2 linked regions of the Daphnia pulex genome follow. The protein of the gene in region 1 purifies or fractionates together with the protein of each later gene. This does not show direct contact. Links are inferred from orthologs where the notes say so. Each region holds a gene or a part of one and is shown in the gene's direction. Other genes may lie near its edges.

Region 1 (4,056 bases):
TTGCCACACACGAAATTTCTTGGAAGAATTACCTGAGATTTTTGAAAGCAAACTGACATCTGATACTTCAGGAGGCAATTCAGTAATTTTTTTCCTGACAATACCATCACTTGATGCTGCATTTTCAAGGGTCTGAAGTGCTTTAACAAGTTCTTCAGGTTCTGGAGCATCATTAGCAGGTAGTTTTGGAGACAAAGTTATGTGGACTTCTTTCTTTCCTTCCTTATCAAACTGTATCACTTCATTACATTCTGATTTTCTTCGTTCTTTCTTAGTTTTATCAGGATCTTCTTGCTCTTTGTTTTCTTTGACATTTTCTAACATTTCGCGGCTCTCACCCCTATCTCTTCTTGATATTTTGACAGGGGGTTCTCCATTGTCAAATCTTCTCTTGAGACATGATTCTGCATGAAGGTATCATTTAAAATTACGTAATGAAAATTATTTCTATAGCTTATACCTAATGATTTTCTGAATTCAGCAATCTGTTTGGAATCAAACATGTTTCTGTCTCCCCAAATATTGAGAATTCGTTCTAGTCTTTTCTGAGTGTTTTCATCATTGACAGCTTGACCCATCAATTTAAGGGCTGGAGCAAGAATTGGACCAAAGTGATCTCTAAATTCTGGACCTTTCTTTCTGCTGTTCTGGATGACATCGTTGACGAGATAGATGAAAGTGAGTTTTCGACTGTCCTTGGCTAAGAAATAGAAATGCTGGAATTTAATTGGAAATGTGGATTTAGGAATTTTTTTACTACCTTTCGTGAATTCCTTTAACCAAATTTTGACGATACTAGCATGGTGTTTACGGTGGTGGATTAACCACAAAGACAATGTTTGAATACTTTGTTGAGAGTTGTTTAGTTCGGCTAATTTTTTCTCTAGTGCGGCATCAGAAAATCCTGACATTTTGTAGATTAATCTCCATAGATTAAGTTTCGTCTATTACGTTAACCGCAAACTCAGTCCCTAAGATTTGTGAGTCAGTCTTCTCTTCTTCTAGAATCTCGATTAGGTAAAGTAGCAGACAAAAATGCACGAAATTTTTTGTCTGTATTTCATGAGAACCATCCTCTTTTTCCGAATTTTGATTTAGTTTATAATAAAAAAAAAGAACAACAGTCATAAATTTATTTCGTTTTATTCTATATTTCATGTTTAAAATTAAAATGTAATAAAAAATCACCCAGTTAATAGAAATATAAGGACTAAATTAAAACAAATGCTTTCTATGTTTAAATTGGAAAATAATTTACAAGTGTTTGACAACCCTGCTGTTCGCTAGTTTGTTAGTCTGTCAAAATTTGTCGAAATTTGTCGACAAAATCATCACTGTGTTGGTATTCAATAGGTTGTTGTGTATTATTTAGATCAACGCGTGCAATTCCTTTAGTTCCAAAATACAGCAATATGAGGTAAGCTTATGGTATTCATATTCACATGATCATAAACTAAATTAGTTTGAATTCTTTTTAAGCACACCGGAGTTGAGCGACGTCGACATGCTGGTAGCCAAGAATGAAAATGAAGGAAAAGAAGAAGACGAAACCAAAAGCAAGCACAAAAAAACTAAATTAAAGAAGACTCACAAACACAAGAAAAAAGATGAAAAGCCAAAGTAAGTTTCCAAGTTTCAAAAAATTCAAACTTTTCCCGTGTATGTATTATAGATATACAAATCACATAAATTATGATATTGTTTTGTGTTGACGAAATGAATGTTGCAATCCCAATTTTCTACCTTTCAGGAAAAAGAAACGTAAACAGAAGAGGGATCAAAGTTCAGATGAATCTGAAAATGATGAACAAAAAAGGAAGAAAAAGAAAAAGATAAAAAAGGGAGAATCTGATGTGGAAACTGAACCTGCAAAAGCAAGGAAAACTCTGAAAAATGGAGTGGAAAATGGAAAATCTCAAGAAATTACCCTTGTAGATTTGGAAGAAGAATTGAATCTGGAAGAACTGATGAAACAAAAGGTTTTTCATCTCATAACATTATTTTGTAAGCATTAACAATATTGAACTTTTTTTTACAGGAGCTGCTGCAAGCTAGACTTGGTGCTTACGATTCTTCTTGCTCTGACACCGAAACCAAAACGATCGAAGTAAAAACTACTGAAAAACTACGAGACAAATTGAAAGAAATCGAAGTTTTAACCGAAACGCGAAATAAGGAATCTCGCTTAATTCGGGATAAAGAACGGATAAGAGAAAGGGAGTCAGAGCAAGAACGCAGTAGAGAAAAAGAACGAGAACCTGGACGGGACCGTGAAAGAGAAAAAGGAAAAGAACGAGATCGAGAAAAAGAAAGAGATCCTGGACGAGAAAGGGATAGAGAAAAGGAGAAAGAAAGAGAAAAAGAACGAGAAAAGAGAGAACAGCGAGATCGACAACGTGAGCGCGAGGAAAGAGAAAGGAAAGATCAACGTGAACGAGAGGAAAGAGAAAGAAGGGAAAGAGTCGAGCGCGAAAGAAGAGACCGATCTAAAGAGAGACGAGATAGAAGAGACAGAGATATGCGGTCGAAGCGCGAGAGAGAAGACCGAGATCGAAGAATGCGTGATCGTGACAGAGGTCGTGAACCAGACAGACGAGATCGCCAAACTAGAGAAAATGAACAAGATCGTGAAAGAGATCGTAATAGAGACTGGAACAGAGATAGGCCGAGAAGAGATGATCACAGAGATCGGCCAGGTAAAGAAGATCAAAGGCGTTCTACGAAGAATGGAGAATCTAGCAAGCCAAACGAGTCATCATCGGAAGATGTGTAAGAAATTTGATTAGCGTTTATGTAGATTTTTCAGCTGTTAATTGTTCCTAATTTCTGTTGCGTATTTATTAGTCCACTGGATATTGAATTTGAGGATGAAGAAGAAGACGAGGATAAGATTATTGAGCAACGCCGTAAACAGAGGGAGGAGTTGCTTAAGGTAATGCAAATTCTGAATATTTTAAACAAAGCACCTATTGGCAGTTAACATTTTTTTCTACCTACATTTATCACAGAAACTGGGAGCTCCTTCAGAAGACTCCAGCCAGTCTTGGAATGTAGAGGGCTACGTATCTGGAACATCGTCACCTTTCAAAGAAGTGCTAAACGAAGGCGGAGAAGATTCTATGATGAGCACTCCTAACATGTCGTTTGATTCTCCTATCATCGTGACAAAAAGCAGCTTTAGTGATGTGGATAGGCAGAAAGATTCTATCACTGGTGAACCATCTGGAAAAACTGACAGTCAAACGGATACCAGGGAAGCGAAGCTTGAGGAAGAGAAGCGTGCTAAAAAGAGAGACATGTTCGCTCCGGAAGCTGATATGTTTGCGGAAGAGTACAGTGTGAGTTTCTATTTCATTATTTTTTTTCTAGTGTGCCCATATTCAATCCAGTCTACTCACAAGTAATTTCAGTTAGTGCCGAATATTACTTGCGTATCTTCGTAATTTATTTTATGAGCCTACTATTTTGTTAGAAAAATGTTTAAGCTGATGGCATTGAGATTATCGTAGATCAATAGAAGAAGCCGTGTCCGACTGCTCCTTTGGCGACGTCGTTGAAAGCAACACTTCGGCATCTTAGCTTCCTCTTGTATGAGCACACTGATGCACCATTTGTCATTCGAAGTCATGTTTGAACAATTTTAATAGCAGTTGGAAACCATTTTCTATGTACATTTAACAGAGTCCTGCTACCGCTATGGAACAAATGAAACGCGTGTCAGACAACCCTAATCTAACTGACAACTGGGACGACGCCGAAGGTTATTACAGAGTTTGCATAGGAGAGACTTTGGATGGGCGATACTCTGTATATGGTTACACGGGCCAAGGTGTATTTTCGAATGTAATTCGTGCAAGAGATCAACTTCGAGCTGGCCAAGAAGTGGCAATCAAGATTATTCGCAACAATGAGATCATGTGAGTGTTCATCAGTTGCGTATATTCCCAAGGAAGTATCCAGTTGTCAATGCACATAGTTTTCATTGAGTTTTATGCATGCTTATCAGTTCGCCTTTATAGCTGTTCTTGATTTACAGTGGATGAACCGATCGGGCAG
Region 2 (4,147 bases), on another chromosome or scaffold:
TACATTGTTGATGCCGCAATCAGATTCAAAGAAAATGACAGTGTCAGTGTTGCTAAGAGTAGCGTCCCCAACACGGTGAATTGTTTCCAAACCAGTAGCCAAGCCATCGTGCAAAAAGACACCGCCATTTACGCCGGGGTAAGCATCCCATCTATTTAGGAAATTTCAGAAAATTCATATTTACTAAAAATAAAGTTGATTGTCAATTTTTCCCGTCATACGTAAAGCTAAAATCGCCATCTGGAAGCTGAATACGGTCGTATCCTAGCAGGACTATCTGCTCGCGAACTAAAGCCAAAACCTAAAATATAAAATGTTTTTAAAAAGACAAAATTCAGTAAATCAAAGAACGAAATTGAATTATATTACAAATACCTCGTCCATGTATTCATTGGCATTTCCTGCTTCCCCACTTCGAGCACGATTCATCAAATGTTCAGAGGCCGGAAAGGAAAGACGAAGAAGCGGCTCGCCTTTTCCAGAAACGGGGCGTCGAATTCCAGCACCTACCAAAAGTAATGACAAAATTAAAAATTATGGTCGTTAGAAATTTAGAATCAACCCAATCAAGGAACGAGTAACAAATATGAGCAAACCATTGGAAAGGGTAAAAAGGCAGAGCAAAGCGAAAATGCCAACCACTTTCATGACGAACGAACACAATTTCAGTTTAAAGTTAAAGAAAGAAACCGTGTCCTTTTGAGAAACAGAAAATGCAAACTGCACACGACCAATTTATACAAAAATTATTGGTCTATCAATGATTGGGCAATCGATCACTTCTTGATTAGAAAGTGATATAAATGGGTTTTTCAAAGATTATGATTGTGACATCGAACTTGATTTGACTAATCTGATAATCCGTATTGCGTGCTAAAATCAAAGGGCAAACAAAATTACCCAATGATTATATTTTTGTACACCTTCGAAGGACGAACTTATACAAAAAAAAACATTCTATTGAAAATGAATTACGAAATTCTAATTCACCAATTGCTTAGTTGATTTTTAGAAACCCGGAAATTGCTTGTTTCCGGGTTTATGGTTCAAGTAAGCAATTTGTATCCAGGCAGAAAAAATCTACACTATGCTGAACATCATTATCTGAACCATGAATATCGCTTTCAAAATATAGACTTCTGTTGACATAAGTTAATCAAGGTAAACAGAGTTCTGATAATACATCCAAACAAATTCGAGACAAACTCTAAACTTTGAGATGATTACACAACACCCAAGACCCAACAGCGTTACCAGACACAAAATAAGGGTTTTTTAGTTAGTTATCAGGATAGTAATTCAAACGATAAAAAATAGTAGCCCCATCTTGTACAAATAATTATTTACTTGACGCATGACCATGATAATCAAACGAAATTTTGAATCGCGTTACAAGATTTGAATGAAGTAGTTCACGCCATCTACAGGACAATAATTCTACTTTTTCGTTTACCGGCATTAACGCGTTGCATTCGTTTTATGTGTCTGCTATCCTTTCCGTAACTCTGCATTCGAGTTTCCTTAATTCTTAAACAATAAGAAAAGCTGTCAATTTTGGCTCTTGGGGTAAATATCTTTTCAAAAATGGGGACGGAAAAGAGTGATATAAAGCGCAAACATGAAGATTTCGATGATGAAGACGAACCCGTCGTGAAAACAAGTATTGTTGTCACTATCCACAAAACCAAATAATAAATATAGTGCAATCCGTGTAACAACTTTTACTGATAAAAATTCTAGGAGAACCAATTGCCAAATCTCGTTTGTGTCCTTATTTGGACACAATAAACAGGACAGTTTTGGATTTTGATTTTGAAAAACTCTGTTCAGTCTCGCTCACAAGGATTAATGTCTATGCATGTTTGGTGTGTGGGAAATACTTTCAAGGTAAATTTGAAGTTAAACAGCAATATTCACATATTTTAAATTGTTTCAAATGAATTCTAGGAAGAGGCCCCAGCACACATGCATATCTTCACAGTGTGGGAGAGGGACATCATGTTTTTTTGAACCTTCACACCCTAAGATTCTATTGTCTGCCAGACAACTATGAAATCATTGATTCATCACTCGATGATATCAAATATGTCTTGAATCCAACATTCAAAAAAGCAAATATTGCAGTGTTGGATGTCATTGATAAAGTATCTAGGTCTTGTGATGGTACTCTTTACCGTCCTGGAGTAGTTGGACTCAATAACATCAAAGCTAATGATTACTGCAATGTAGTCCTACAGGTAATGAAGTAGTAAACTATAAATTAAAATAATAAACTTTACTTACTTTTGTATTAGGCTTTATCTCATGTTGTTCCACTACGCGATTACTTTCTCAGGGAAGAGAACTACATTGGTATCAAGCGTCCTCCTGGAGACAATAACGTCATCTTAGTTCAGCGTTTTGGTGAATTGATTCGTAAGCTTTGGAATCCACGCAACTTTAAGGCTCACGTTTCCCCCCACGAGATGCTCCAGGCTGTCGTTCTGTGCAGTAAAAAGAAATTCCAAATTACAAGCCAGGGTAATATTAAATTATGAGAATTGTTATTAAAATTTTACCTTGCTAATTCTTCATTTTCCATATTTCAGGTGATCCAGTGGAATTTCTTTCGTGGTTTTTAAACGCGTTGCATCTGGCATTAAACGGTACCAAGAAGCCAACTTCTTCAATCATCTACAAATCTTTTTTGGGAGCAATGAAAATTCATTCTCAGCGAATCCCACCCATCGATGCCACTGATACAGAAAAGGATGCACTGATGTTGACTGCCGAATACGTCGAAACATTTGTCGATTCGCCTTTCCTTTTTCTGGCAGCCGACTTGCCTCCCCCTCCTCTGTTCAAAGATGAATTTCGCGAAAACATCATTCCACAGGTTTGCCAAAATCAATTAGCTTGTAGCATTAATTAAAAGCTAGATCGAGTCTTTTGTTGATTTTTCAGGTATCTCTGTTTGCATTGCTGTCTCAATTCAATGGAGTCCAGCAAAAGGAATACAAGACCTACAAGGAAAATTTTTTGAAGAGATTCGAATTGACAAAACTGCCACGTTACATTATTCTCAACATCAAGAGATTCACGAAGAACACGTTTTTCATAGAAAAGAATCCCACCATCATAAACTTCCCCATCAGGTAAATAAAATTACCACACCATTTTTTGTTGACTGTTACAAAATTGAGATGTGCTTTTAGGGGTGTGGATTTTGGCGATATTCTAGGTGCAGATGTTCGCGCCAAACACGGATGTACCACATACGATCTGTTAGCCAATATTGTACATGATGGAGAACCAACCAAGGGAACTTATCGTGTTCACATACTTCATAAGGTAAATTCGTTTTATTGTTGACCAATAATCACAATAAACTTCACGAGTCAATTGCTTCTATTAGGCGACAGGAAAATGGTTTGAAATGCAAGATCTGCACGTGACAGAAATTCTTCCGCAGATGATCACTCTCACAGAAGCTTACATTCAGGTAGAAAAAAAAATACAATAAAACGTTATTATGTCCCATTTAAAATGTTCAAACATTTTAGATATGGGAACAATCTACGGAAAGAAGCGACGTTGAAATGTCCAACTGAAATTTCTGTCAAAAGTGTAAAACCCGAGTTGAAATAAATATTCAAATTCGTACTAAAGCATTAATGTGAGACTTCTTATTGGATTGAATAAAATTAACACACCACGTCGCGAGGAAAACGAACCATGTTTGATTACACAAGATGCAATAATACACAACTTATTTCGTTTTTTTTTGTTTCATTTATCTTGCTCCAAACGATGTTGTGTGGCAAAACAGGGAAAAAGGAGTGATTTGTTTAATTAAGAGAGAAGAAGTGGGTTTGAGAATGCAGAGCAAAATAAAGAAATCTTGAAACAAACACGTAAGAGACAACCCCCAAAGAGGACAGAAGGGATGAAAAAATAAAGGGTCGTAGTGAAAAATTAGATTCACACCGCGCAATCAAATTGTCCTTCATGAATTCCGCTCGTTTGCTACTCTTTTTCCCTTACATACACTCGCACAAAGTTTCTTCAAAAATCAGACCAGCATTCGATCGAATTCAAATAGCTTATTTTTTTGCGGTGAGCAGCGGTGGGGTGATTTTTATTTTATGCTACAAAAAATTGGAAAACG

What was found.
Region 2: the proteins of serine/threonine-protein kinase prp4-like (region 1) and U4/U6.U5 tri-snRNP-associated protein 2-like purify together in Homo sapiens (affinity purification with mass spectrometry; 3 studies listed by BioGRID and IntAct, with this or other methods). This does not show direct contact. The link is inferred for Daphnia pulex from reciprocal best matches to the Homo sapiens genes PRP4K and USP39.

Annotation. Positions count from the first base shown.
Region 1 is NC_060020.1:7,005,439-7,009,494, forward strand, and holds the start of serine/threonine-protein kinase prp4-like, read left to right. Parts: upstream 1-1,256; 5' UTR 1,257-1,412; coding exon 1,413-1,417; intron 1,418-1,479; coding exon 1,480-1,620; intron 1,621-1,750; coding exon 1,751-1,979; intron 1,980-2,038; coding exon 2,039-2,769; intron 2,770-2,844; coding exon 2,845-2,932; intron 2,933-3,008; coding exon 3,009-3,338; intron 3,339-3,681; coding exon 3,682-3,917; intron 3,918-4,056. Other genes in the region: regulation of nuclear pre-mRNA domain-containing protein 1B-like, read right to left, coding at 33-404, 461-700, 761-911. UniProt on the Homo sapiens protein: Serine/threonine kinase involved in spliceosomal assembly as well as mitosis and signaling regulation. Connects chromatin mediated regulation of transcription and pre-mRNA splicing.
Region 2 is NC_060025.1:1,779,025-1,783,171, forward strand, and holds U4/U6.U5 tri-snRNP-associated protein 2-like, read left to right. Parts: upstream 1-1,453; 5' UTR 1,454-1,584; coding exon 1,585-1,660; intron 1,661-1,740; coding exon 1,741-1,887; intron 1,888-1,947; coding exon 1,948-2,237; intron 2,238-2,294; coding exon 2,295-2,520; intron 2,521-2,588; coding exon 2,589-2,875; intron 2,876-2,943; coding exon 2,944-3,134; intron 3,135-3,194; coding exon 3,195-3,330; intron 3,331-3,394; coding exon 3,395-3,481; intron 3,482-3,542; coding exon 3,543-3,590; 3' UTR 3,591-3,647; downstream 3,648-4,147. Other genes in the region: uncharacterized protein LOC124202306, read right to left, coding at 4-151, 222-301, 376-506, 597-648.